Mus musculus: one gene and its partners. The protein of the gene in region 1 interacts with the protein of each later gene in a biochemical or structural test. Links are inferred from orthologs where the notes say so. Each region holds a gene or a part of one and is shown on either strand. Other genes may lie near its edges.

Region 1 (4,254 bases):
GACTCAGCAGCCACAATGAGTGACAGCTCCTGGGGACTGGAAGAGGACAGGCTAGTTTCTCTGGAAGTTGAAAACACTCTCCCTCCCCTGCTTGCGAAGGAAGAGACCCTCTAGAGTGGTGGTTCTCAACCTTCCTAATGCCGAGACCCTTTAACCCAGCTCCCCATGTTGTGGTGACCCCAGCCAGAACATGTTTCTTGCGACTTTGTAACTGTAATGCTGCCACTGTTATGAGTCATGAGTATGCTACGTAGGTGTGCTGGTTATGTCATATGACCCCTGCCAAAGGGTTGTTCAACTCCCCCAAGAGAGACCCACAGGTTAGGGACTGGTCTGGAGAATTCTGAAAGGGACCCATTAGTACTGAAAGTCTATGAGTGCTAGGTGGAGTGGGGCTTTCTGGGTAATACTACCCACCCTGCCCTGCCCCCCCCCCCCCCCCCCCCGAATCAGCCGGGAGCCTCGCAGAGGGAGTTAATAGAAAATGTCCTATCCCCTTAGGCAGGATCCTCCCAGTCTTCCTGGTCCTCCTGTTGCTAAAAGGATGCAAAGTGGACCTTTGAATTCTGACGGTAGGCGTCACTAGAAAAAGGGACACTGAGGTGACACTTGCTGAGGAGCACTGGGAAAAACCCAGAGCACACACTTGAAACCCGGAAGGTGGTCATAACAAGGCAATCTAGCCCAGCCCTGCCGACTCGGGAGTCACCTCTTCTGAGCCCTCAGCCTGGTTCTAGCCACAGTGCCAGCCTGGGCTTGCTCACAGCCCCGTCACCGGGCCAGGCTTTATCCTTCCACTCGGGCTGGGGTTTTGACTGAAAGAGGTGTGGAGCCCCCGGAAGGAAGCCTGTGGTTTGGTTTCGTGAGCTCCCAGACACCCGGTCAATGTGAAGGGAGCCTCCACTGTCTGTCTGTCACTAGGCTTCCCTCCAGATGGGCTGCCTGGCTCTGGACCCAAAGCTTAAGGACAGACAAACTGATGTGGTGGGAGTAAGGCAGGCAGCTCCCCAGTGAGACTGCTGTGGGATGTCCCGGGTAAGGGAACCCTAGGGGGAGGGTGGGGAGGAACCTGAGGCAAACTGAGATTCCACAGACTGAGGGCCACAGGAGGTGTGTGGCTGAGGCAGAAAGTTGAGCCTGTCCTGGTGGTAACAACTGGTCAGACCTGTTTCAGCTAACCTAGGCAGCCTGGGGGAGGGCCCGATGGCAGCTCCATATGGGGGATTAGCTGGAAGGAAGCGAGTCCTCACTCAGAACTCCCTGGCGCTGGGAGGGCCGCAGGAGGGGCTAGGTCCCAGCAGGGTGAGGAGGGGCCTCCTGTGGCTGCCTTCTCTTGGCTGCCCATTTGGTTGTCTTTGCTGTTTGGGGTGAGTGGTAAATAGCCACTGGGGAAAATCCCAAGTATCAACTTCTGCCTCCACAAACCCATCCAACATCCTGAAACAGGTCCACAGTGCCGCCCAAGCATCCTTCTTCCACCTTTAAATTTTACTCTGTGTGTGTCTGCGTATGTGTGTGTGTGTGTGTGTGTGTGGTGTGTGTCTGCGTGTGTGTGTGTGTGTGTGTGTGTGTGTGTGTCTGCGTGTGTGTGTGTGTGTCTGCATGTGTGTGTCTGCGTGTGTGTCTGCGTGTGTCTGTGTGTGTGTGTCTGTGTGGTGGGTGTGTGTCTGTGTGTGTGTGTAGGTTGCAGAGTGCCATGGTCAGAGGACAACCTGTGGGAGTCATCTCTCTGTCACGCGGGCTCTGGAGATGAAACTTAGGTGGTCTTGGCAGCAGCAAACACCTTAACTGGATGAACAGTCTCTCTGGCCTTCTCTCCCACCCTCCCTTGCCTTTTGTACCCCCCACCTAAGGATTTGGGCTTCTGAGCAGCCTAGTACACTACCCTCCCCACCCAGCATCTCAGGGTTACGAGACTGTTCCCCAGGAGCAGGGACAATAGCAAAGTGTTGGTATGCAGAGGGACTTAGTGAGGACAATGGCTACATCCAGGTCTGCCCGAGCGACTGGGAGCTCCCTAGTGTCCCTTTATACTGTGTCATTATGTCATTGTGCCTCAAAGGCAGCCACCTACTGAGGGTAGGCAGATAGCAATAAGCACCTTCTAAAAAGGAAGACCGGGAGGCTCAGGAAGGGAAATGATGCGCCCCAAGCCACAGGCTAGTCAGGAAGCCCCATGGGGTAGGTGGCAACCTAGGATTAGCCAGCCAGCCAGTGTCCCAACAGGCTGCCAGGACTTGGAGCTAGGGTCAGAGTAGTGCTTTGGCTCCAGCTTCTACAGGCTCGCACCCTGATTCTGGCCATCTGTCAATCAGTGTGAGCATCAAGAGTCCACCTGTCAATCAGTGTGCCTGTGAGCATCATCAAAGCTATGGCACGGAGCTGAGCCGCCGCTGAAGAGAATGAAAAACGTTAAAAGTTGTTCCCAGCTGAGTGCACAAAAGACAGCTAGCTGTTTGTGTCCTTTGGGAGGTGGGTCAAGGCACACACTACTGAGTCTCACAGCCTGACCAGGACCCCCCCCCCCCCCCCCGCATGGTGTCAAGAGAACCAACTCTTTAAGTTGTCCTCGGGCCCCCAAATGTTGTGGATTGTGGTGTATGTGTGCTCTCTTTCCCACACGAAATACTTTTAAATGAAAAGTGACAAACTCTGCTTTCCGGGCCACAGTTTTTTATGACGTTGGCCCTGCCCCCGCTTTTCATGACCTCCTCCCCATATGAGTCCTTGGGGATTAGTGAGTGGCACCCCACCCATCCTGCCTCCCCCCACCCCTGTTCTGTTGCTCCCTATGTCCTGGGCTGGATACAGAGCTCCTGAGGATGGTCCCATCCACCCCAGGTCCCTTCACCCCAACACCTACAGGGTTTCAGGTTATCAGTCTCACATTTGGCTGGGCCGTCTGGTTCACTGGGGTCAGGAAGTGGGCCCACAAGAGAAGAAAGGCTTTACTGTAAACAAGCTGTCTGCTTTCAGTAAAACAGCTATCCTTGCCTTCACAGCAGAGACCAGATACATGGGCCAGGTGCCCACTCGTGAGCCTCAAGTATCCAGCCAGGCCTAGGAGGCCCAGATGAGCCTTGGGTGGGGCAGGGTTCCACCCAAGTAAGACCAAAACATGTAATAGAATGACAGAGAGGCAAACTAGCCTCGGCAGGGACAGCCGCTTGTCCAGAGCTGCGCAGTCTGCTTCGGTGCACATCTTCTGAACCCTGGACCAGATTCTCTTGTATTGCTTTCGAGTCTCCGGTCACCATTGGATCGTTCCAAATCCTTCTAGGTGGGGAGGTAGAGTTGGGCAGGGGTAGCAGAGAAGACAGGGTTGGGATAATATGGAATGACATGGGCACTTCCTACATCCCCACAGCGCGAGCTCCGGCCCCGGCTCTGCACCATGAAGAAAGGCCCCAATGGCTATGGCTTCAACCTGCACAGCGACAAGTCTAAGCCAGGCCAGTTCATCCGAGCAGTGGACCCAGACTCACCGGCGGAGGCGTCTGGACTCCGGGCCCAGGACCGAATTGTGGAGGTGATGTCCTGTACAGTGTTCGCTAGGCTCTACCTTCCTAATCTTTGGTGTTAGGGGACAGCCTTACACCATATGTGGCTTGGTTAGCCCATGGGAAATGGCCAGCACAGAGATGCTAGGAGGAGAGGGAGGGGAAGCTGGAGTAGCAAGTGGGCGCATGGACAGGCTGGCTGGCTGGCTGGCTGCTTTTCCCATCTCGGGTTCTAGTGTACCAAGTATACACTCAATGCACAGGATTTACCAGCCAGAATCCAGACAAATGCCACGGGCTTCCCTAGCAGCCTTCCTGATACCTGGTGTGAGGCGAGGTTAAAACCCCTCTCCTGAGCTCAGCTTCGAGACACCCCGTTGTTCGGCTGTGCTCTGAGAGGAAATGTGAACTAAAGGCTTGGGCTGCTCCCAGAATCACAGTCTGAGAACCTTAGAGCCACAGATCAGCCTTCCAAGACTTCTCACTTTACACGTGAGAAAACCAAGGCCCAGAGCGGGAGGTCGGAGGCGAGCTCAGCCCAGGCTCCCAGGCCTCTCCTCGCTCACAGCTGTGTTTGTGTAGTCTCCTCTGGGTATTTTCTTTGGCTTTTCCCATTTGTCCTGCTTCCCAGCCGACTGTGCGAGAATCACTGGAGGCACGTGAGGGAAGGCAGTGTTCTCAGGTGGGGTTCCCTCTGCCCGCTCTCCCCAGCATCCTGTCTCTGCCCTGCCTCCTCGCAGGTCAATGGTGTCTG
Region 2 (4,254 bases), on another chromosome or scaffold:
GTCCCAGGTCATTATACTTAACACTCTGCCACAGCAGGTGACCACATCATATCTGAGGTGAGTTACCAGGGAGATCAAAGAGAACTCTAAATTCATTCGGTAAAATTAGGAAATAGAAAAGTGCACAAGACAGTCCAGTCTACCCCAAGACTTACTTTCTCAGATTGGCAATGAGGTCAGCAAACGATTTCTCCCACGCATACATCTTTATTATCCTCATGCCTGTTATGACTTCATTCATGGTCCGGATCCTGGCATCCGTGAAAGCCGCAGTTTTACTCCTGAGGGGGACAGATGTGACAGATAAGCCACATGGAAGGCAGCCAACTTTTGTGTATCAATCACAGGCACAGACAGGGACCCAGAGTCAAAGGCGGTCCTCTGCTCCCACAGCATGGGTGGGTCCTACATGCAGCATGGGTGGGTCCTACATGCAGCACACACATAGAAGGCCGAATGAACAGTCAGCCACCTCTGCCAACTCTGCGTATTATGGAACATTGTGAATGACTGCTGAAGAAAACCCAAAAATGATTCTGGTATATTGAGGGGGGCACAAGGTACTGAAATCACCTACGTCTGACAGGACACAGTTGGCAGAGGTGGAAAGAGACAGGATCAGAAAGGCTGTGGAGCAGAAAGGCTTGCTCATCCTGCCGGGAAAAGAGTCAGCAGACAGCCACAGCATGTCAGGAGCTTTAGAACTGGCAGAGGACATTCAACACAGAGGAGACCACACAGAGCACAGGCTCAGAAGGAAAGAGCCTGATGCCTTCAAACGGTGTGGCATCTCCACCCTCATCCAGAGGCCTCTACGGAGACTGGCTTCGACTCCTGGAACCTGCTTCGGGCCATGGTCACTTCATGATCAATTCAGGCTTGTGTTAGCAGCCATGTTTCTGACACACACCCTGCTAGGATGGTGAGACTTCCACGAGGTTCTGTTAAGGTTGGCCCTGCGCCCTGAGAGTTTGTAATTCAATGGAAATACTGGAGTGAAAACAGCATACATATGCATACGGGAGCAGCTCCATAACACGCAGTGTGGATGAATCTATAGAACGTTGGGATTCGGACCCTGAGATGCCAATTGTCCTCTGACCTTCATATATGCACTGTGGCACATGTGCACCGTCCCCATAGACACACAACGGACGGACGGACGGATGGGTGGATGGATGATGGGCGGAATAAAATATACAAAATAAAATAATTGTGTTTACTACCACTTGATTTTAACAACATCTACATGCGTAACTTACAGCAAGGATGCTTTCTAAGTGGTTACACTGAAAAGCCAGCAGAGAGCAGCCAGCCAATACCTTCCCCCTTCCCCTTCCAAGACCAGCCCTCCGCTTATGGCTGGAGTACCCCCAGCTAAGCCTGAAGGGCCGGCAGCATATGCAGAAAATATAAGAAGTTTCTATTTTGTTTCTGGGTAGCAGTCTCAGGCAGGGGCGGAGAGGGGACTGGTGTTACCAAACAGGACATCTCTTCAGCCCAGCGTCCCTCTTACCGCAGTGACGAGAACAGCTTCCCGATGCAGCTTTGCAGAGGCAGAAGAATAACCAGAACGGCCAAGCCCGCCAGGCAGGAGATTCCTATCTCCACCCAGAGGAGGACGGTTACCGCGATGGCCTGCAGCGGCCCTGCCCACAGAAAGTGCAAGAAGATTGTCACCTGCAGATACAAAGCCCACACATGCTTAGGACTGTAAATAAAACAAGACAGGTGGGAACGCATGCCAGCAACATTATGCTCCAAACGGGAAGACAAGAATGCAAAGAGAACCGGGGCTCAGCGAGCGGGCTTAACACTGCTGAGGCAGAACCGTAGGTCTCACTGCAGATGCTACACTTGTGCGATGAACAGTAGACCGTGGTCCCTGTTATAAGATGGATAGACTGCACCATCCCAGAGACGGTCCCGATCTTTAATTCCTCGTGTGTGGAAGCGAACCCACCCTCTGCTCTACAAGTGAACTGCATCTCCCCTGGGTCTCCCCAGAAAAGCCTATGCTATGGCGCCTACCACACTCTGCAGGTGAGGTGTATGTCTGATGAATGAAAATCTGAAAGGGGAATGGTTGCTGGGCAGATCTGACCTAAAGCTAGAGTGATCAATCTGTAAGGTGACCGACCATAAAAACGGGTGTGGGCGAGAGCCGTAAATTCTAGCTAGGTAGCACCATGCGACATGCCCTATCAAACTGTTCCTATGAACCAGGTACCACATGGAGGGGGGCTGTACTGCACACTCCTGCCCTCCAATACTTGGGTCCTTTAGAAAAAGAGAAAGACAGACAGACAGCTGGCTGCTCCTCTGTCATGTGCTAAAAATTACTATGAGGAGGTAGCCCCTCGAGACTATCACTGCACTAACCAAGTCGGGAGGAATATTGCTCTCCGCCAACTCACTGTAGATGTGTGCTGCAGGCAACATCAGAAAAGCAAAACTGGGCTCTATGGGGTCAACACATCTTACCACACCTATGCTGCACACAGAACTGAGATGTGGCTTTAAAGTGCCTATGTCACAACTTCAGAAAAAATCCTAGTCTACACCAAAACCCTCACATTCCAACAGATTAAAAAGGGGGAAAATTGGGGCAGGAACTGACAGAGATGGAACGTACTTGGTCGAATTTGTTCACGTCGTTGGACAGCAGGTTAACTATCTGGCCTGTGGTTGTCTTCCCCATGGCCGAGTTACTTAACCGGAGTGCCTGGAATAAATGAGCAGAGTGGAGAATCAGATCCTGTCCTAACACTCTCGCAAGCACGGGAAAAAGAGAAACGCATGTTCATGGGGTCTTCTGTGGTGTAAAAGCCATGACGACAGCCCTAATGTCTGGCACCAACAGCAATATCTTCAAGGACAGCAACGGAGGTGAAGGAAGCAGGAGAAAATCAACTCATTCTTATTGATGAATGGCCACATGCCCCGTGTATGTCAGTGGACACTCCACAGCCTACCAAAGTAAACCAGCTCAGTAGGGAGACGGTGGAAGTAGAGAAAAATGCAGGATTTGTATGAACACTGAATGTGCTATTAATTCTTGGCCAGATATCACTTAAGTACACGTGGTCATGGCTTCTGCCTCCTGTATATGGAAACGGCCCTCGCTTGTCTCCAAGAGTCACAAATGAAAGAGAAGCGGCGCTTCTGTCTTGGGTATCTGCCAGAGACAGGGCCCAGAGGCACAGGAGGACCCACAATTGGGACATGGCAGAAGCACTTGTGATGAATTCAGTCTGAGGTCTCGGGCAGCAGAGCAGTGGACAGATACTGGGGAAGGTCTCCTTCTCCGGCATGGTGGCAGGAGAACAGGGGACAAGGAACAGCTTCAGGGGACAAAGGAAGGTGCCATGGATCAATGAGCAGCTTGTGAGACGTACAGAGGAGAGAAAGGTGGGGTGGCTAAGTAGAGAAGGCCCAAAGCTGATCTTGGAGGGGAGAGAGAAGTAGCTAAAGTCGGAACGAGAACCTGGAACAGTGAAGACGGTTTGTCTTGGGTTTTTGTTTTGTTTTGTTATTGTTGTTAAAAATTCATTTATTTTCTATGAATACACAGTAGCCATCTTCTAATACACCAGAAGAGGGCGTCAGATCCCATGACAGATGGTTGTGAGCCACCATGTGGTTGCTGGGACTTGAACTAAGGACCTCTGGAAGAGCAGTCAGTGCTCTTAACCATTGAGCCAACTCTCCAGCTCGTTTTTAACTTTAAGCTGGAGTGCACCACATTGCCAGATGAAGAGAAAACAAAGAGACTGCAGTAGACACCAAGGCAACAGGTAATGAATGACCAGGCAGCTATGTAAAGGCAAAGGAGAACCAGATATAAACAACACTAAAATACAAGTAACTCCATGCAACATGAGTTACCAACCATAAGACGGCCCGTCTGTAATTCTGACACTGGGAAGGCAGAGGCAGGAGGATCGCAGAAAGTTCAGGGCCAGCCTAGGCAGCAGAACAAGGTAAAGACCAGCAAGGCAAGGTGGAGAAAAGACACACTCCGTGGACGACACCATGCTCATGCAAATAGGAGAAACACAAATTGGCATTTCATGTTTAAAAAAGAAAAAAGCAAAAAATGAGGACATGAAGTCGGGCAAAGGTAGAAAGAGATCTAGAGAAAGAGTGGGGAGGGGTATGGTAAAGATATGCTGCATGCATGGTTGAAGTTTTCAAAAAAAAGTAATAAAGATGTTACAGTTAAAATACATGGGAGCACAGGGCTGCACGGGT
Region 3 (4,254 bases), on another chromosome or scaffold:
AGTTTATTTCCTATTACAAAAGGGATCACACACAGAAGAGATGCTATAAAGTCATAAATCTAAATGGAAATACAGTCCTTATTAAGACTTAAAATTATCTAAATCACTTTAATGGAGGAGGATATGCATTTGGGAATTTCTTGTCACTTAGGACTTAAACAGTGCTTTAAAAACTAAACTGCCACTGTGGATTGGCACCTGTTCCATGATGGAATGTACCAAGAAACATTCCAGTAGCCAAAAGAAATCTACACATTGGCACTGACACAAAGAAAAAAAGTTTAGACTTAAACAAAGTCTATGTAAATTTTGATTGAAGGAAAACAACATAAACATTAGCAAATATGTTGTTTAGTTGTAAAATTGTGCATATCATTGCTTTCTTTTAATCTAGCATTTGAGAGCTATTTAACTGGACAATGCCTATAAGATACTGACAAAAATGAAAAGAAGGAAGGAAGGAAGGAAGGAAGGAAGGAGGGAAGGAAGGAAGGAAGGAAGGAAGACGAAAAGAAAGAAAAGCACACCATTAGATTGTTTTCTGACAAGTGCATCATTGAATTTTGTCCACTATGAACCCTGCCCCTGTCCCCTGACTTCCTTTCCCAAAATGTCTTTTTTTTCCCCTCAGGTGACTGTTGATGATTTGGATGTAAAATGTGCTAAAGACTCCTGTGTTTGAATACTTGGTCTCAAGCTACTGTGCTGTTTAGGAAGGCTATGGAATCCTTCGGTTCTTGAGCAGGCCTTCAGGTTTACAGCCTGGCCCCACTTTTTCACTATTTGCTTCCAAAGTGTGCTTGCAATATGACCTACCAACCTGCTACTTCTGCTATCATGCCTTCCCAGCCTCTGTGGAATATGTTCCCTCAAACAGAAAGCACATATATATCTCCTTTCCTTAACTTTTAGGTGCTTTATCATGGCAACAGGAAAAATAATAGAGTGACTAATACTGCATTCTTGTGCAGCAGGTCAGCACACAATGAAGTAATTACATCATTGTGAAAGCTTCCCTCGATGAACACTGCCTGAGACAAAGGTACAGCAGGCAAGTAAGGATCATTACCACATGAGTCACTGCCTGCCTCATTAGATCATCTAGATGGACATCTAGAATTCTTTTCAGTACTTAACTTCAACTCATATTCACTCTTTGTAGGTTGGGCTTCTGAATCTGTTAAAAACTAAATGTATGGAGGTGTAATAAATGATGTGAGGATTATAAATAACAAACTATTATTTTACTTGTTAGATGTGTGGATTTTAGGACCCCTTGTCACAAAAACAACAAAAAATGTTACTTGAGATGACATAGTTATGTTATTGATTTTGTTATAGTAATCTCTTTACAATACTTATGAATCAAAATATGCTGATTATAAAAAATATTCCCAATAAATTTTATTTTATGACAATTCATCATATATAGCATTTGTATTTATGCATATTTCCTTATGTCTGAAGTACTAAAATATCAATAGTAATTCTAACTGTGGATTTTAAAAAGTTTTAACTTATTTTTCTGTGTATGAATGTTTTGCCTGCACACATCTGTGTACTACACACATGTTGTACACACAGAGGCCAGAAAAGAGTACCAGGTTCCTGAGACTTCAGTTACAGATGCTGTAAACCACCATGTGGGGTCTGGGAATTTGGCTAGGTTGTCTGGGAAAGCAACCAGTGCCCTTAACCACATAGCTGCCTCGTCAGCTCCTCTTGGTTTTCAGAAGCGATGAACTTTACAGGAAACTACCGTTGTACACATGCACATACACATGTGTACATGCTCATATGAATACATACAGCTTTTTTATCCTAAATTTAAACTCACAGTGACAATTTCCAAACAAACATACTTACCTCAACCAGAAAAACCAGTACGCACCAAATCAGCACTAGCAGTAAGCCTTTATGGAGAGTAAAATATCGTAGGTATGTGTTCCATGTTGTCACCGGGGGTATCTTGATCACATCATCAAGAAAACACTCCTGAGAAAAGAAGTGTGATTCTGAGACAATCCTACTCCATGCTGCCACTGAGCTTTTATTATGAATTCAGGGAAATAAGGGAACAGTACCATTTACAGCCAAGGATCTTTAAAAAATAAAAGCCACTAAAAATGCCACGGGTGATGATGGCCACAGAGAATAGGATGTCTGCTCAAGCAATATAGTTTATAAAGTACCAAACACAGTGAGACTTCCCAAACCTTAGCATGTAAATGCTTTACAGCCCACACCTTTTGTCAAATGAGTGAAGCTCCCAAACTCTTCATGATTGAGCTTGATTCAGTGAGCCAGAGACAAGGGCAATGTAGAATTTGCTAGCTACTTGAGTCTTCTATTTTAGAAGCTGGCTTATATTTGTATAGTCCTTAGGCATTACATGGTTGCTTTTCTAGCTACAACTTAAGTTACAAAATCCAATTCCAAATACAGCCTCTAAAAGCCTTTGTCTTTTGGAAGCTACATTATAAAAATGTGAGAAAAAGAGAGTCTATATATTCTAAAGGGAAACGATGCCCTCATAAAATCCATGAAGTTCATTAAGTGCCATTAGACTCACAAAGAAGGAAGCCTATTAACCTGGAATAAGGTTTACTGATTAAAAATTAGATTGTTGAACTAAACTGCCCTTTATTTAAAATCAAGACCAAATGGTAACATCGTAGGATGTTTGAATGTATGAAGATACTGAATTTCTCAGAACTTTATTTTATTTCTTTGTTAATAGGGACAATGATGTCACAGTGAAGGAGACAAAAAGTGTGTTGCCTGGAAGGTGAAATAATTGATAACTTAGTAACAAAATCAGGTAAAGAAAGCATTCTTTAAAATGCACACAAACCAAAATGTATATACTTCAATTTGGTAATTTTATTTAGATGGATATTAAATCATATAGATGAATTATCTTTTAGCAAATCAGTTTTAGATTATAGAAATATCGAGCATATATTTTTGAGAATTACTTATTCCTTTATTTCACAACAGAGTGAACTCAGGCCCAGAGATACTAAATGAATTGCAACTGCCCAAAAGTTAACTTTATATTAAAGACAGTCACCATTAAATATATCATCCACTAGGACTCTGCTTTAACTTCATCTAAGGTACATCCACTGGTAAACAATCGCCCTCTTGTTTTCCACTGCTTTCTATTTTAAGAGAGGTCGTTTTGCTCCTTAACACATAGAGTTAAGAACTTTAATCTGACTACTGTCACTAATATATGCCGAGCTGCACATATCTTCCTTAGAGAAACCCTTTAAAAAACACAACACAAATCTGAAAGGTTAGAAAATATATGCTAACTAAATGCAGGCAGGAATGTGAATTTATCTTGTCAAGAAGCCAGGTGTGTGTAATCCTTATCAAGGCCATGCCTTAAAAACACTTTTTGGTGTCTACATAAATGCAAGTATTTGTTTATATAATACTCTATTCCGCCTTTTCCTAGAAAAACACTAAAGGAGACAATTATTAAGTTATAAAAGTGAATATCATTTCATGAGTCTAGTAGAAAAACTCAACACTGAGGCCCTGTTTTGGCTTACCACACATTTGTGGGGTGGGGATGATATTTCAATGATAACCAGAAATAGTTTTATGTTTCAAGTTGCTTACACAGGTAATGGACTTTGTATCCTTAGCCCATAGACCACAATGGGATGCCATGAAATACATAGTATGTGACAAAATTTACTCCAATTATGGGGTTAGGATGAGATGTATCTTAAGACTTGACGGGTATATACCTTTAAATCTTCTTCGTTAATTTCTTCAGTGATGTTCAGTGTGCTATCTTGCGATAATCTCCTTGAATATACATCCACTTCATTTAAGCTTATCTGAGGGACTAAGGAGATTTTTCGAATAGAAGTTCTGGTCCTCTGAAGATTGCTGGAGCCTGAGTTGGGTGTGAACGTCATCAGATCCAAAACAGACTGTCTTCTTCTGCCTGGAAATGTGGGGCCGGTGGCGATCATGTTGCTGCGCGGCAGAGCAGCCTCCCCCTGTTCAGAATCCGGAACTAGGGACAGTCTCTTTTCTTGGAGATCATCAGACTCTCCATCGATACATAATGGAGTCTTTTGCACAATGGAAATTTTCCTTACAGAGCTGAATGAATTTAGAATAGAGTTCTTCCTTTTTTCTCCCACCTCTCCAGTCTGTCTAAACGACTGTTTGGGTTTGCTCCACGGGGCAGAGGAATCGTCTACTGAGAACCTGCGTAAGGTCTCAGTT
Region 4 (4,254 bases), on another chromosome or scaffold:
GCAGAAAGAGAGGGGTCATAGGTCTCTACTCTCTCGTCTGCACCAGGAACCTGGGGGCTCATAAAACACTCTTAGAGGCTTCAGTTGGTACGCTGTGCTCTTAGGAGCGACCTCATTTTGGTTTAGAAATACTTGAATCTTTAATAGTCCATTACATTGATTTTTGAAGGAAATAAGTAACATTTTAAAGGTTCTAGAAGAGTCTCCTAAGCTAAAGGAATCCTACAATGAAATACTTCCCCAAGTCCCAAGTCATAAAAATTACATAGGGCAAATGCTCAAAACCTAACATACAAATTCATCTAAACTATTTTTAGCCCTTTTGGATGAGACCTGATTCAAGGGCCACGTGTGAGTTAAGTCTAACTGGAACCTCTGACCTCTCCATGTTCCAAATAATATGATCACCACTGGCCTGCCCTTAACAACTCAAGCCACTGAAGAATTTCTGTTCCCTGGATCTTTCTCTTTCAAAGGCATCCCTAACTGCTTGTCACGGTCTCCTGATTCCCAGTCTGCGCAGGTGACCTTCTCCCTTCTTGTCATTTGCATCTTACTAAACTTCCTGACTCCCCTCCCTGGGGCCTCTGCATCTTCATCACCTTTGAGCATCGTGCCTAGGAAACGTCTCATCTCCCAGCTCAGGGAACCAAACACAAGACGTTCAATTTACCCAGCAATTGAACGGTACTTGAGTTTTCAAATACTCACATATGTCATGTGACTTTTACCATCACTGTGAGACACACTGAAAAAGAAAGACAATGCTATCTCCTTATCGAGGGCATGGCAATTCACCTAGCTTGCTCAATATGGGCCTGGGATGAAGAACCAGTCTGTAACTCCAAAGTCCGTACTTTCTTCTTTCTATTTACATAGCTTGATAGGTCGTGTGTGTGTGTGTATGTGTGTGTGTGTGTGTGTGTGTGTGTGTGTGTGTGTGTGTATGTGTCCATCCGTGTCCATCCAGGATGCATTTTATACCACTGGCTATGCCTGCTCTCCCATGCCAAATGTCAGACTGTCAGACATGCAGAAATCTGAAACATTCATTTAGGTAAATCCTTAAGGGAGGCCTCACCGGTTGGAGGTAATCCAGGAAAAGACGCATTTCTGGTTGGTGTCAATCTGCTTCTCACTGTTTGCTAGAAATCTCTGCTGGTGCTCAAAGGCCCGAATAACAGGCAAACCAGAGACAGTCTCACTAAAGTGAGAATAGATCGGAGATTTGGTGACAGAATCCAGCCGTCTCAGCTGGCGGGATGTAGCCACATAAAACACCTGAACTCAAAAACCAAGAGTCAGTTAGTGACAGTCCCCTTCCTTCTCCCTCTCAGCGCTCTGCCACCAGGCTATATATTTTGAAGGCTACCCCTCAAAATAGGAGAGATGGCTCAGTGGTTAAAAGCACTGGCTGCTCTTCCAAAGGACCTGGGTTCAATTCTCAGCACCCGCATGTCAGTTCACAACTGTCTGTAATTCCATTTCCAGGGGATCTGACATCCTCACACAGACATACATGGAAACAGAACACCAATGAACGTTAAACAAACAAACAAACAAACAAACACCCACTTGCCACTTAACAACCTCATCTTCAACAACAACACATGACATAAAAGAATAAACGACATCAAGGAAATGTCTTGAATCCAAACATGTTCCCTACCCAAGCTCTCTGGGGGCAGCTTAGGGTGACACATGCTATGACCCGCACACTGACTCATACTGACAACTGAGCTCTGAGTGATCCCGTGCTTTCCTGGGCACATCGAAGACGCTGGAGAGGAGCTGCCCACGTTAAACCTAAGGGACGCGTCTCAGGGCTCTCGGAAGCGGAGGGGGGAGACCCCGCCTGTCTTTCCCAAGCCCACCTGCACAGATACATAGAGAATGCTGAGAGGGATGATGATGATGATGAAGATGGGGGTGGCCATGCAGATCATCACGAGAGTGCTAACTATGCCGAAGAAACACAGCAGCCAGCTTCGCAAAGTCTGGGGGAGTGTGTCGTCCACCGTAGAAATATCCTAGGGATACAGATTAGGAGAGACGATGAGCCAGTGAGCTTGTAAGATGTTGCTCATCTTCCCGATTCCAGCTGGCATGCTCAGGTTGTCTCAGTTCCTCGGGATTTTGCCATTTCATCTCAAGCCGTCCATTTGTAATAGATCATACCAGTCGTCCAAAATTAATCAGATCTCTGTGGTCTCCTTACTTTTCCAAATTCTTCCAGAGACCTACGGTAATAATCCTCAGCTTTCCCAATAGATCTGGTGGATTTCTCACTCTCTCATTCTCCACCTTCATTAGACCTACACTGCAAACTACTAGAGTCTTTCAGAGAAATCCTCATTTTACGGGTTCTCATCCTATTAAATACCCAGTAGAGAGTCTGGCACACAAGAGACATCCAATACGCACTTGTTTTAAAACTCTGGTGTACAAAGTTTTGTCTCCCACCTTTACGTATATTCCATTTATATCATGGAGTTTTAGAGGGAAAGGAAAGGGGGGCTGAATCTATCTCCCACTGCTCAGCGTCCCAGCCAAGGAACCCAGAAGCGGAAGATGGCTTAACTGCCATGTTGTCTCGTGTTGTGTGAAATAAACTGAGGAAACTAACGGAAGGGTAGATGGTTTGGAACGCGCTTAGAAAGCCTATTTTAGATCTTGGGTTGCCCTCCCCTGGCTTTCCTAGAGGACTTTGTTAATCCTATACATCAACCGTGCGAGGGAACACTAAGGCAAGTCCAGATGATTTCTGGAGTTTCCCAAGTTCAGCCAGGGACAAGAGCGTTCTGTAGTGGGGTGCTTCTGAGTCTATGTACCTGTCCCACGCTATGTCAGCATGCACATAAGTTAGCCATGTCGAGGGCTGGCAGATGAGCCAAAGCCTCACTAAGCCACCACTTCTACAAGGATTACTTTGATCCTCACCTATCTTAGATTCTCCACCTTTTTTTCTTCTTTCTTTCTCTCTCTCTCTCTCTCTCTCTCTCTCTCTCTCTCTCTCTCTCTCTCTCTCTCTGGTTTTCGGAGACAGGGTTTCTCTGTGTAGCCCTGGCTGTACTGGAACTCACTCTGTAGACCAGGCTGGCCTCGAACTCAGAAATCTGCCTGCCTCTGCCTCCCAAGTATACTCTCTCCTTTTTTTTAAGGACTCCATCTTTGTTTCTAGAAGACCCCACATCAAACTTGCTCACCGCCCTGAACCACCCCTGCAACATAATTTACTATATGATTGTGAGTTTTCTTTCTCAAGTAGGACCAGTCAGCAAATCTGATTGTAGTCTAACTAGCTCACAGGAAGACCCCAGAAGACAGACCATACATATAATGACACCAGAAAGACTGTAGAGACTGTCTAATCCTTCTGAGAAATATCTGCATCCAAGAGTATGTGCTCTTTACTGACTAACGGGCAGGCAGCCTCTAAGTGGTCTCCAATGGCAGCTTTGCTATTTCTACCTTATAGGTAGGAGGGAAATGGGAAGTTACCTGTCTACTTCCTAAGCGATTGCCGTGTGCTCAGATCCTGACTGTAGGCTACGATCCACCCACAGTGCAGGCCTATTCATTCATCTTATAAAGCGCTTTTACCCTTCCACAAGCAGAGAACTAAAAGCTGTGCTGACGACACTTCACAGTCATTCAGAAGTGCCTGGTTTCTGCCTCTAATCCTGAAGCTTCCACTTTGGATGCACTTAGAGGAACCAATGAAGGAAGCCATCTTCACATCTAATAGTACCAGGCTCATTGAAAAAAAAAAAAACAACCCAACCCAACTGATGGTAGAAAAGGGATGCCCAAGTGCCCCCAGCCCTGGGATCTGCGCAGATAGAAGCAGTGTTCGAGATCCCCTTTCCATACAGATAACCCAACCCAAAATCCAGACCTAACTTACTGGTCCTCAAAGCATTAAAAGTTTTGCGAATGGAGACAAGTCAAGGAAACAGGCACTGTACGCTCCCTTCCATTAGCCGTCCTGAGCAGCGAGCATGCTTTTCTGTGGCATCTCCCCTCCCCCTGTTCTATTGCCCACCCCCACCCCCACCACTACCATGCTCACTGTTTCTCTCACCTCCATGATTTCATATCAGCTTTTCTGATTGTCCCCATCTGCCATCTGGTTTGAGCTTGCTCTCTTTCTCTACCATTCCATTGTACCCAGAATGCCTCTGCACATGCCATTGCTGTTTTTAACCATACTGTAAGTCTTTGGAGAAATCCTTCACTAGATAATAAACTACT
Region 5 (4,254 bases), on another chromosome or scaffold:
TGAAATCCACCCTTGGGGTTGACATGAAGACCCCTGAGATGCCTTTGAGGGCTCAGCATGTAGCAAGCCTATGATATCGGTTGCTGCTGCTGTTTTCAGACTGGTACACATTTCGGATTCTGCTCTACATAGAGCAGGTGAACGTGACTGTTAGTGCAATTTGCTGATTACACTTAAGTTCAATGCACTGAGAGCCATCTAACAGATGAAAATAACACTTTTGAAATACGGTCATTGCCCCTGATATAGCTGCCTCTTGTGAGGCTATGCCAGGGCCCAGCAAACACAGAAGTGGATGCTCACAGTCAGCTATTGGATGGAACACAGGGCCCCTAATGGAGGAGCTAGAGAGAGTACCCAGTGAGCTGAAGGGGTCTGCAACCCTATAGGTGGAACAACAATGTGAACTAGCCAGTACCCCCCAGAGCTCGTGTCTCTAGCTGCATATGTATCAGAGGATGGCTTAGTCGGCCATCATTGGAAAGAGAGGCCCATTGGTCTTGTGAACTTTATGTGCCTCAGTACAGGGGAACGCCGGGGCCAGGGGGTGGGAGTGGGTGGGTGGGGGAGTGTGGGGGAGGGTGTGGGGGACTTTTGGGATAGCGTTGGAGGTGTAGATGAAGAAAATAACCTAATTTTAAAAAATTAAAAAAAAATCTTCCAAGCTGGGGCTTGCACAATACTAATTCCAGCTTTCAGCAGACATGTCTCAGTGAGTTTGTGGCCATTTTGGTGAATATAGCAAGTTCCAGGACAATTCGTACATAGATTCGGTCTCTCTACTGTTCCCCAAATAAAATCCCAAGAAAATTCTAAGTCTAATATCTTTACTGGTGAATTCTGTCAAACATTTAAGTATGAATATAATATTAGGGGTTGTTTTTGATTAATTTATACTTTTGATTGGGTGTTTTCTTCATTTGCATTCAAATGCTATCCCAGGAGTCCCCCAGACTCTCCTCCCCCGCCCCCACTCCCCTGCCCACCCACTCCCACTTCTTGGCCCTGGTGTTCCCCTGTACTGAGGCATATAGGGTTTGCAGGACCAAGGGGCCTCTCTTCCCAATGATGGCCGACTGGGCCATCTTCTGATACATATGTAGCTAGAGACACGAGCTCCGGGGGTACTGGTTGGTTCATGTTGTTGTTCCACCTACAGGGTTGCAGACCCCTTTGGCTCCTTGGGAGCTTTCTCTAGCTCCTCCAATATTAGTTTTAAACAATTACTTGAGAAAGTGGAGGGAGCTGCCTCCTTTATTTATAATGAAGTATGTTTTGCCTTGATAGAAATATAAAAGGCCTATAAGAGAAGTAGAACCCTCATGAATAAAGATACAAGAATTCTTTTTTTAAAAAAAGAAAAAAAAAAGAAATACGGTCATTGCAAGCACAGACAACAGTCCATGCGCAATGTACTTCTGTATTTAGGCTGATTACACAACACCGAGGAAAATCCCAGATCTCACAACAAGCAGCTGCAAAGGGCAATAACTTCATGATTATTACGATGTTGACAGCCCAGTGGGTAACCAGGCCCTCAGATCATCGCAGTTGGCAGAATGACTTCCAACACTGATGTAAACAAAGCCAGTTCCTGGTTAGTACATGGATGGGCTCTGTTACTTTCTCACGGTTTTCAAAATGTATTGTGGAAATATGAAAAAGGAGGTGGGAGGGATGGTCAGCTGTTAGGAGCACTTGTTCATGCAGACAACCTTGGTTCAATACCGAGCACCTACCCACTGGCTCACAACCATCTGTCACTCCAGTTTCAGAGGATCTGATGACCTCTTCTGGCCTTCTCAAGTACCAGACACACATACATATGCACGCACACACACACACACACACACACACACACACACACACACACAGGAACACTGACATACAGGCAAGACTTCATCATGAAGGCAGGCAGGCAGGCAGACAGGCAGGCAGGCAAGGAAGGAAGGAAGGAAGAGAGGAAGGAAGAGAGAGAATAAGAAAGAAAGAAAGAAAGAAAGAAAGAAAGAAAGAAAGAAAGAAAGAAAGAAAGGAAGGAAGGAAGGAAGAAAGAAAGGAAGGAAGAGAGAGAGAGGAAGGAAGAGAGAGAATAAGAAAGAAAGAAAGAAAGAAAGAAAGAAAGAAAGAAAGAAAGAAAGAAAGAAAGGAGACAGGAAGGAGACAGGAAGGAAGGAAAAAAGGAGAGAAGGAAGAATGAGAAAGAGAGAAAGAGAGAGAGAAAGAGAGAAAGAAAGAGAGAAAAAAGAAGGAAGGAAGGAAGGGAGGGAGGAAGGAAGGAAGGAAGGAAGGAAGGAAGGAAGGAAGGAAGGAAGGAAGGAAGGAAGGAAGAGTCATAAAAGACTTGAATTCTAAAGCTGCAGGAACTAGCGGCCTGAAGAATCTCTTCATCATGAAGGAGTTGTGATTCTGAGATCCTGAAACTAAGTCCATCTAGGACAGTGCAATAAGAACGCTGAGCGGCAGGTGTGTGGACATTCTGCTGGAGTGTCCTGTGTTGCTGGTGGACTGAGGGAGAACAGGAAAGAGAGGAGCCCCAGAATCCTCCAGGTTGTGGGTTCGGTACCTCCTTTGGTGCAGGCCCCCAGCAGGTTGACCACGTTCAGGTGGGGTCCAAGATGACTCATAATCTTCAGCTCGGACATTAAGGCTTGCTTCTCGCTACTTCTGGCTGTCGCTGGAGGGGGGAGAGGGACTCAGCCTGGGTGGGCCACTGAGGTGGTATAGAGGCCCTGCCAGGGCCTACTCTGCTTCCTCTGCCCCATCCTGTCACACCACCAGTGTCCTAGGGTGGACTGTATTAGAGAGGGAAGAAGGTGGGAGGCGGGGAGAGAAGGAGGAAGAAGCACCCTTCGGTCCCACAACCTCAGGGCCAGGCTCCTTCAGAAGAAACAAAAAGCCCAGGGAAGGGAGGGACCGAGTGAGGCCTCGGGTGTGAAGAAGGGGCGGGTGGACTCACATTTCAGCATCTTGACAGCCACTTTCATGGTGGCCTGCGAATGGCTCAGACCGTGAGCTGTGGCCTCCACCACCTGTCCGAAAGCCCCAGAGCCAAGAGTGCGTCCTAGGATGCATAGAGACCCTCAGCTCCTGGAAGCTAAAGCTTCAAGCTTCATCCCATTTCCCATTTAGGTTGGGGAATATTCCCTTAGATCACCCTCCACATCCCTCCAACCGCCCTACTGTGCTCCCCTTGGGAAGTTTCCCATCCTCTGGGTCTCCTCTAGATCCTGCATGCTATCTGCCTCCCCTGTAGTCCCTGAAAGACCTCCTGTCTCTTAGGGACACGCACAACTCCTTTGCACCTGCCTCAGACTCCCTGGCCTACATCCAAAGGACTTCCTCTTTGACCTGAAGGGGTCCCATATCAGTCTTGGGATCCCTGAGTTTTGGTGCTATGGGGTCACCTTATCTTCACCATATAGAAAGGATAGTGAGATCCAGAGGATGCAAGATATCAGCTCTATGCCTTAGCTAGTAGCAACCATGATGGGAGCAAATCTGAGTGTGCCCACTGCTGCTTAACACCTCTTAGGACTGACCCAGAACAAGCTGGTCCCGTGGCAGCTCCCAGGTGGAGTCGTAAGGCAACTGCACAGGGTCCACGTAGATGTACTCATGACCGTCAGAGCTCACAGACTCAATGACCTTCCATCGGATCTCATAGCGTGGCTTCTGCAGGACAAGACCAATAACAGATGAGACTGTCAGAGGGCATCTTTGGCCTTGAGCCTATCAGGTCCAGACCTTTAGATGGCAGATGAGACAAGAGACTCGGGCATCCAGCGAGGACAGGGATGTTTGAAAGTGATGCAATGAATGGCTAGCAAAACCAAGGTCTCAATGAGCTCAGAGGCAGTTGGCACTCAGGGGCCCCAGGGGTGGAAAGTGTGACTGAGAAACCCTGAGGACGCAGCCTCTAGAGAGGAACTGACAGCTGCTTCACCAGCTTCTCTCTGAACTCCAGTTACTCCTCAGACGGGACGAGTAGGTTACCCTGAACATAGCATAAGGTAGGACAGATTCCAAATGTCAACTCTGTCTCTGTGGGATCTCAAAAGGATACATACAGCCTTTGGATGTGGACATCTTAGGATCTTGGAGTCATAGGATTGGAATCTTATAATGACAAGATGAAGGGGGACTAAAGTCCCAATTCAGGAATCTTAAGTGTTTGGAGCTACAGAGGGGGGAAATGTCAGAATAGAGTGTTGAAACAGATTCTTGGGGTCAGATTGCATTCTTGTGACTCAT
Region 6 (4,254 bases), about 110 Mb from region 1:
CAATAGCTCAGGATCGTCAGCTTCTTAGCTGTTGTCAGTATGAGGGGTCAAAGGAGGTTAGCCTGGCTCAGTGGTTCAGGCTGGTCTCCAGAGTAAGGGGTTTCAATCCTGGTCCTGCTTCTCATCAGCTATGTGGTGCTGGATGAACTCATCAAACTAAGTCTATTTTCCTTTATATAACTGCAACACTAAAATGTTTTTTGGAGTCTGGGCCTCATAGCAGTCCCGGCCAGATGTGAATCTGCTACGTAGCTGAAGATAATCTTGAAATTCTGATCCTCCTACCTGTATTTCTTGAGTACTAAGATTACCGGTGTATACAACCATGCCTGACTTACACTATGTTAGAGGTGGATGTTAGACAAGCACTCTATGAACTAAGCTATATTCCCAGTCCCTAAAACCTGCTTTTGATTCCAGTGGGATGTTTGTTAATTCGTGTGAATGAGACAAACACCAAAAAGCTACATGGAGACACAGGTGTCAATCCATGGCATCACTGTGATCTCTGCCAGCTGTAGCACTATTCTTCACTCCTGGCTCAAGAAATGAGAATGATCTTACTTAAGATTTCGTCCACAACGGGACTCCTCCTGTCCATCTCTGCTCCACTTCTGCTGCCCACAAAGGGAAGGGAGAGCATGTGACGGAAGTGCCTGTGATCTGGCTGGGCTCGGGGTCACCAGCATAGGGTTACTCGTCTCCCCTGGCCTCCTCCGGCTTTGCTCAGCCTAGGAATTTTTTTTTCTTTTACCTTCATTCTAGAACCACTGCTAAAGAAAACTGTATTTTACTATGCGAACAACAGTCTTAACTTGGGACTCAATACAAGCCAGTCCTATTTTTCAGACAAGGTATAAAACATAAATTTCAGGATACCATCTTAATCAAGTGTTAGTTTTATCCTGGGACCCTGACTGTTGTCTTGATCTGTTGTCTTTAATTTTTAATAATTAGAAACTTTGTTCTCCAGTGGGTGACAACAAAGCAAACCTTTGCAGGGGTAATGACTGGCTGCTGTTGTGACCTGTGACTCTAGGCCAGATCCACTCACTCATGCTCACGACTGACCCAGCAGGCCACAGAGGGTACATACTTTTCTTTCTCTATCTCCATGGAAAGTCGCTTCATGTCCGTATCCTTGAAGTCAAATGACAAGCTGTCAGCAATAATGTCGAAGCTCGGTATGTCAGGAGGCAGTGGTGGTGGAATTGGGTTCATGGGCTGTCAGTGAGAAAGCTCCTGTTAAGATGCTTAAATTACACAGGACAGAGACCTCTACAGTCAATACTGCCAGGTAAGTGGTCCCAAAGCAACCACAATCAGACAAGTCACCCTTCTCTCCTCAAACCTCATCATTTCTACGGTTCCTTGAATCAAACGCAAACTTTCACTCAGCTTCTCATTTAGGAAGCTCATTTAGGCACTGGGCTAGGAGTTGAGACACAGGAAGGAAGACAGGCTTCCTGGCTCTAAGCAGATCAAAGTCTTGTTCAGGAAGCAGATGTATTTGCAAATCCTCATAGTTAAGTAAGATGAACATGAGCCAGAGGAGGGACAGGGCGTATGAGGTTAGAGGGATCTGCCAGGGTACAGCTTCCTTGGGGATCAGTGAATGAGCCAAAGGAGAAAGGTGCCAGGCAAGAGGCATGCTGGTAGGCAGGGCAGACAGGATCCATCCAAAGCACTGGGCATCTCAAGTACCCTGTGGGGTGACTGGTAAGAGACTGGCTTCGGGTCACAAAGGCTTTGCTCGTATGGAAGGGGCTTAGATTCCAAAGACAGAGCCAGAAGAGTGCTTGAAAGGGGAAACCAGCTGACTTGTTTTCAGGATCTTTTCACTCCAGAACAGAAGGTCACCTAACCTACAGTCCCTACCTACCTCTCTAGTGTCCCTCATTATTTGTCCTGCTAAATCATAAACAGTACTACGTATTATCCCACACTTAGCATGTGTCCTTTCTTTCCCTCCCTGCCACTCCTTCTCTCTCTTCCTCCTTCCCTGTCATTTTCTGTGACATTAGGGATGTGCCACATGGCCAGAGCTGGTCTCAAACTGGTGAGCCTTCTGTGGTAGCTTTCTGAGTGCTAGCACTGCAGGTATGGGTCATAGCAGCCCAGCAAGGTCTCCATTCCCCTTTCAAAGTTCTCAATTCTTCCAGTCTCTCAGCAAAGCCCTTCGAGCCCTCTCACCTTCTACCCTGACAAAACAGCTGCTCATTCCCTTTGCAGTTCTCTGTCATGATGTGCATACTGCTGCCCCGCCCTTTCCTCAGCTCCACACTGCAGAGATTCCTCATGGGTATGTCTTTTTTCCTCCTAGGATCTTTTACTGAGTCTGGGACAATGTTTGGAAAGGAACAGAACCTCTCAGCCTTTATTTATGGCAGTGAGGTCTAAGGTAGGATGTATGGAGTCTGTCAAGTGTGCCCCTGAGCAGGATATCTAGGTCCTACATACACTGTTTTCAGGGCTGAATTCTGGGTAAATGAGAGAGTCTGCTCTGTTGACACTTCATCAAGCTGGACAGTTATAATCTAGGCAGGTCTATTTACCTTATACTTCAGAAATATTCTCAGAGCTGGGCAGTGGTGGCACACACCTTTAATCCCAGCACTTGGGAGGCAGAGGCAGGCGGATTTCTGAGTTCGAGGCTAGCCTGGTCTACAGAGTGAGTTCCAGGACAGCCAGGGCTACACAGAGAAACCTTGTTTCAAAAACCAAAAAAAAAAAACAAAAAAAAAAACCAAAAAGCGCAGAAAAATTCTCAGAAAGGAAGAACACTAGCCGTTACCCTTTTAGTGAGAGCAGAAACTGACACACCCTCTTTGGCAGGTGGCACAACTGAGTATCTGACCTTACAGGTCTAGGAAAACTGTCACGTCTGTGTGCAAAAATTTGTTGTTCAGTGCAGTTGTGTTCAAAACTGCTATAGGAAATACACTAAGTCCTCACCTATAGGGCCTGGCTGGCTGAGTCACAACCCACCCATTGACATGATATGATTAAGGAACTAGAGTGTGCTCCTCTGGAGAGACAGTGCTAAGGGAAAGTGCAAAAAGAAGAGCACTTTGAAAGTCTGCTCTAATGGCTGTTTGTTTTAGACACAGGTAATTCAGGTATATAGTCCAGGTGAGTGCTCAGACTGCCACAGTCCCAGCTGTCACCTGACTGTGACCATCTGATCTTGAGAGAAGACATGTGCCTTTAATACACTATGCCCAAGAGACAAATAATGGTGTTTGGGGTTATCTGTTGCCCAGGAATAAATAACAAGGACACATGGCAATAGCAAACCACTCACATTCCCCCAATTCAAACCCTGGGCTCTTATGCCTCTGTGTCCTGAATGCACCTGTGCCACATGTGAGTGTTCCAAGTGTACAAGTGTACAGTGTGCTCGTCATGTACACAACTACTCAGGGTGTGTGCAGCCTATGTGTGAATGGGTTATGTGTCTGTGCTGTGAATACACTCTGTCTTTGCCCAGAGTGTTCTAGCCTCTCTTCCCTGCCCGGCAGGGAACGCTGCTCTTCTGCAGAAGTCAGTCATGCCAAGCCTTTCCTGCCTCCAAGGCTGGGCTGTGATCTGGGCATATCTGTCAGGATTTCCAATTGGTGATATTATATGGCTAGAGAACAAGTTTGCAGCATGGGAAGGAAGGGGAACAATGTCTACTTATGATCCCACTTAGTACAAGTCAGCCCCCTGTCCCAAAACCGAGGTTGACAGCTGGTTCTGGCATAGCAGTAATTCACTCTGAGTTGTACAGGCAGTCCCTTCAAAGAGCTACACTGTAGCATATAATATATACCGACAATTGAAGATTATGTTTAGCTGACAGCAGGGAGCTAGACAGCAAATTCCCCTGAGGGTAGTGACTATAGCATAGTCGTAAACACTCTAGAGCTGGAAAGGGTTATCTAAGTAACAAGAGAGGTAACTGAGTAGTCATCCTAAAGCTAAATGGAGGATCCTATCTGGGCCCTGAATTTGCTTTTCACTCCAAAGGCACTGTGAGGTAAACTAAAGGATTTGGAGGCTTTTCCCAGAAAGTTGCCAGACCAAAGCAGCCAAAAGCTGCCAGACTGAGGCCAGGCTCACTGGATAGGTGGGCTTGGTGGCGATTTCTAAGAGCTTCTGCTTGGCTCTTCGCTCTGCTTCTCTGGCTTCTTGCAAGTCTTGCTTTAACTGATCAGCCTCCTTGGCCCTGCAAAGAATGAAAAAGATGTCAGCTCCACAGAAGGGGACAGG
Region 7 (3,341 bases), about 110 Mb from region 1:
CCCAGGCTAAAGCCCCAAGGCCTGATAGAAGCCACTCTTGTACCAGTTACACGCTCACCTCCATCTGTGCCTCGGCTCCCGGCCATGCCTCATTGACCTTGGCCGAAGAGCTTGTTGCAGCTCCACTCTGTCCCGCCAGGATGCCTTTCCCTCAGCCTTCACCCCATGCGCGGAGCTTTCCTTGACCTTGACAAGCAGGAGTTCCCATTCCTGTAGTGTTTGGGACACTCAGCCCCATTGTCCCTCCCCCATTCTGTGTCCACGGACTATTTCAGTCTCCCTGAGGGGACCGTCTTGTGTCTGGTCTGTCCGTCTGTCTGCCAGTGCTCTATAGGCTCTGGCTACCTGATGAATTACTCCATGTTGGCCCAGTACTAAGAGCTCACAGGGGGCTGTGGTCATGGCTCTGTGGCCTTGATGTCTCTTCAGGAGGCAATCCAGCTGGACGGCGAGATCCTCTTCTCACTGCTACAGAAGGTGTCCCCTGTGGCTCACAAGCACCTCAGCCGCCAGAAGATTGATCCCCTGCTGTACATGACAGAGTGGTTCATGTGTGCTTTTGCCCGCACGCTGCCCTGGAGCTCTGTGCTGCGAGTTTGGGACATGTTCTTTTGTGAAGGTACCAGACTATGGTGGATAGTGGGGGGTGCAAAAGAAGCCCCAAGCCTCCTTGAACTCATCACCTGCCTCCCCGCCCCGCCCCATACAGGAGTCAAGATCATCTTCCGCGTGGGGCTGGTACTACTGAAGCATGCACTGGGCTCCCCAGAGAAGCTCAAAGCCTGCCAGGGCCAGTATGAAACCATCGAGCAGCTGCGGAGCCTCAGCCCCAAGATCATGCAGGAAGCCTTCCTGGTTCAGGAGGTGCGGACCTGCGTCTCCCACCTGCTATGGGAGGGAGGGGAAGCTGGCAGTTGACTTTGTATGGCCCTGCCCCAAGGGTTGACTGGTAGGCCAGGTCAGGCGAGGTGGACAGGGACAAGAGGCACTGTGAAGTGTCCCCACTAGCTAGGCCACTCCACTCTGGGAACAGAGCAGAGCTGTGATCTACAGCCCCCTCAGTTTTCTTTTTGGATACTTGTTTTTCAGAGGCTACAAATGAAGAGATACATACATGGCCAGCTTCTATGGGGGATCATGGCCAGGCTGATGACAGTGCATGTAGCAGGGGCAGACATACAAGGTCATCTGTGCCCACTTCCAGCACTGACCCCATTTTACACTTGAGGAAGTAGGGCTCAGAGAGGCAAAATTTCAAAGTGACTTTCCTTTGGCACCAGCTGAAAAGTGATAGGGCTGGAACTGGAGCCAGGCTGCCCTAGTCAGTAGGTGACATACTGGCTAAGAGTGGGGTTGCCCATGTCAGCTCTGCCCTGCCTCCTGTCCTAGATGTAAGGAGAGAGGGGTGTGTGGGCTATAGGTAGTGTCTCTTCTGAGACCGTGGCTCTCATGTTTGGCACTCAGACCACAATGATATCTTCCCTTTAGCAGACAGGTAAGGGAAGCTGGTGGGCAGGAAAGCAGAGGGGAAGGTCATCCTTCCGGTGCTCACCTGCTCCTCATTGCCCCAAAGGTGATAGAGCTGCCTGTGACGGAGCGCCAGATTGAGCGGGAGCACCTCATCCAGCTGCGGCGCTGGCAAGAGACGCGTGGTGAGCTGGAGTGCCGCTCTCTGCCCAGGATGCATGGTGCCAAAGCCATCCTGGATGCAGAGCCTGGTCCCAGGCCTGCCCTGCAACCTTCACCTTCCATCCGCCTACCGCCAGATGCAGCCCTCCTCAGCTCCAAGGCTAAGCCGCACAAGCAGGCCCAGAAGGAGCAGAAGCGGACAAAGACCAGTGCGCAACTGGACAAGTCCCCAGGCCTCAGTCAAGCCACAGTGGTGACTGCTGCAGGAGATGCATGTCCTCCTCAGGGTGTGTCCCCAAAGGACCCGGTCCCCCAGGACCCTACTCCTCAGAACTTAGCCTGCCACCATTCCCAGGAGAGCCTGACCTCCCAGGAGAGTGAGGACACCTACTTGTAACCCCGGGAGCTCAGGCCTCCGCGGGGGTCTTCTCACGTCTTACACGGTTCAAAGACTGACAACACTCCAGGTCCTCTGCGCCTGAGGAGCCAACTGCTTGGCCCGTGGGCTGGGATAGGATCTGGCTGGTCCAGTACAGAGTCTGCCTGGGCCTCCTTATTTATTTTCTCTTGAGTTGAGCTGGTCCAGCCAGCACAGGCAGAAGCTGTGGCCAAAGGGGTTGGGTCTCAGCCCCATCCTTCTGGGGAGATGTTACCCAGGGGTAGGGTGCTGGCATGCGGGGAGGCGGTGGGGTACTCTTTGTGTAAAATAGATATATGGTTTTGTACGGAAATAAACAGGCTTGTGTATAGAGCTGTGTATAGTTAGGACCCAAAGGGCTATCGCCCTTCATCCCGGGAGCCCCCCTGAAACATACAGGAGCACGGAGTCCAGAGCCAATTACTGTTCTTGGCTCTTCTCTCTCGACCCATCTTTCTTCCATGTTCACCTCTACACAGAAGAGTCAGTCCAGGCTAAAGCCCACCACTGGGCAGAACAGGAAATAGTCCCCAAGGCCTTGCTCTGTGCTTCTTTATTGGGGATTGGGGGTAAGATCCTGAAGAGGTAGCTAAAGGCTCCAAGGCCAGACCTAGATGCTGACCATAGCAGGGAGTAGGGAGAAACAGACTTGGAGGAGCTTCCAGGCGTTGCCTGGGCCTAGGCTGCATTGTCCTGGTACAGCTGGGAATACTGAGTCTGGAGAGGCGAATGGTTACCTGAGGTTCAGGGCAGCTTCACATTCTCTGCCTCCTGCTTCTCAGCCCTGTGGCTCTCCACTCTGTCCACACTTGCCGTGGTGAGATGAGGAGCTCACTTAAGACCCCAGTTAACTTGTGAGCACTCACACAGTATCAGGGGCTGCCGCCAGGGCAAGGTACTGCAGGCGCCTGACACAAGCCTCCACCAAAGAAAGACAGGTGAGGGGAGAAGTGGGCCTCCTTGATAAAGCGCTACTTTCTGTTGGCTGACACGGTCCACATGCCAGGCTGGGCTTGTGTCTGACATAAGAGGAGTTCAATGTCCTCCTCCTCCAAGTGCCACATTTGCACCCAAGCCCCTCACCCAAGTGAGCAGAGGGCGGTGGAGGGTCAGGCAGGTGCTCAGCTACAACCTGATAGTTGGCGGTGAGGAGAACAGGGTGTCCCTGGGAGAGGCCCCCCTTCTGCTGAGGAAGCAGCTTTTCTAGTCAAACAATAGTGGTTGTTCCTGGCCTGAGACCAAGCTGGGCCAGACCATAGCAGGGGACAGGGAGGGAGGGACAGACTCACAGGGA

Evidence for each region.
Region 2: the proteins of Slc9a3r1 (region 1) and Abcc4 form a complex in vitro, tested with the Homo sapiens proteins (3 studies listed by BioGRID and IntAct, with this or other methods). The link is inferred for Mus musculus from reciprocal best matches to the Homo sapiens genes NHERF1 and ABCC4.
Region 3: the proteins of Slc9a3r1 (region 1) and Cftr form a complex in vitro, tested with the Homo sapiens proteins (9 studies listed by BioGRID and IntAct, with this or other methods). The link is inferred for Mus musculus from reciprocal best matches to the Homo sapiens genes NHERF1 and CFTR.
Region 4: the proteins of Slc9a3r1 (region 1) and Abcc2 form a complex in vitro, tested with the Homo sapiens proteins (2 studies listed by BioGRID). The link is inferred for Mus musculus from reciprocal best matches to the Homo sapiens genes NHERF1 and ABCC2.
Region 5: the proteins of Slc9a3r1 (region 1) and Pdgfrb form a complex in vitro, tested with the Homo sapiens proteins (2 studies listed by BioGRID and IntAct, with this or other methods). The link is inferred for Mus musculus from reciprocal best matches to the Homo sapiens genes NHERF1 and PDGFRB.
Region 6: the proteins of Slc9a3r1 (region 1) and Nf2 form a complex in vitro, tested with the Homo sapiens proteins (2 studies listed by BioGRID). The link is inferred for Mus musculus from reciprocal best matches to the Homo sapiens genes NHERF1 and NF2.
Region 7: the proteins of Slc9a3r1 (region 1) and Tbc1d10a form a complex in vitro, tested with the Homo sapiens proteins (2 studies listed by BioGRID and IntAct). The link is inferred for Mus musculus from reciprocal best matches to the Homo sapiens genes NHERF1 and TBC1D10A.

The regions. Positions count from the first base shown.
Region 1 is NC_000077.6:115,172,984-115,177,237, forward strand, and holds part of Slc9a3r1 (Na(+)/H(+) exchange regulatory cofactor NHE-RF1), read left to right. Parts: intron 1-3,367; coding exon 3,368-3,529; intron 3,530-4,240; coding exon 4,241-4,254. UniProt on the Homo sapiens protein: Scaffold protein that connects plasma membrane proteins with members of the ezrin/moesin/radixin family and thereby helps to link them to the actin cytoskeleton and to regulate their surface expression. Necessary for recycling of internalized ADRB2.
Region 2 is NC_000080.6:118,629,463-118,633,716, forward strand, and holds part of Abcc4 (multidrug resistance-associated protein 4), read right to left. Parts: intron 2,726-4,254; coding exon 2,636-2,725; intron 1,681-2,635; coding exon 1,517-1,680; intron 282-1,516; coding exon 156-281; intron 1-155. UniProt on the Homo sapiens protein: ATP-dependent transporter of the ATP-binding cassette (ABC) family that actively extrudes physiological compounds and xenobiotics from cells.
Region 3 is NC_000072.6:18,267,939-18,272,192, reverse strand, and holds part of Cftr (cystic fibrosis transmembrane conductance regulator), read right to left. Parts: coding exon 3,765-4,254; intron 1,996-3,764; coding exon 1,867-1,995; intron 1-1,866. UniProt on the Homo sapiens protein: Epithelial ion channel that plays an important role in the regulation of epithelial ion and water transport and fluid homeostasis. Mediates the transport of chloride ions across the cell membrane.
Region 4 is NC_000085.6:43,823,611-43,827,864, reverse strand, and holds part of Abcc2 (canalicular multispecific organic anion transporter 1), read right to left. Parts: intron 2,031-4,254; coding exon 1,875-2,030; intron 1,282-1,874; coding exon 1,082-1,281; intron 1-1,081. UniProt on the Homo sapiens protein: ATP-dependent transporter of the ATP-binding cassette (ABC) family that binds and hydrolyzes ATP to enable active transport of various substrates including many drugs, toxicants and endogenous compound across cell membranes.
Region 5 is NC_000084.6:61,072,051-61,076,304, reverse strand, and holds part of Pdgfrb (platelet-derived growth factor receptor beta isoform 2 precursor), read right to left. Parts: coding exon of another isoform or gene 4,199-4,254; exon of another isoform or gene 3,682-4,198; intron 3,676-3,681; coding exon 3,543-3,675; intron 3,065-3,542; coding exon 2,960-3,064; intron 2,678-2,959; coding exon 2,567-2,677; intron 1-2,566. UniProt on the Homo sapiens protein: Tyrosine-protein kinase that acts as a cell-surface receptor for homodimeric PDGFB and PDGFD and for heterodimers formed by PDGFA and PDGFB, and plays an essential role in the regulation of embryonic development, cell proliferation, survival, differentiation, chemotaxis and migration.
Region 6 is NC_000077.6:4,783,340-4,787,593, forward strand, and holds part of Nf2 (merlin), read right to left. Parts: intron 4,211-4,254; coding exon 4,105-4,210; intron 1,225-4,104; coding exon 1,097-1,224; intron 1-1,096. UniProt on the Homo sapiens protein: Probable regulator of the Hippo/SWH (Sav/Wts/Hpo) signaling pathway, a signaling pathway that plays a pivotal role in tumor suppression by restricting proliferation and promoting apoptosis.
Region 7 is NC_000077.6:4,213,128-4,216,468, forward strand, and holds the end of Tbc1d10a (TBC1 domain family member 10A), read left to right. Parts: intron 1-429; coding exon 430-619; intron 620-709; coding exon 710-864; intron 865-1,573; coding exon 1,574-2,026; 3' UTR 2,027-2,378; downstream 2,379-3,341.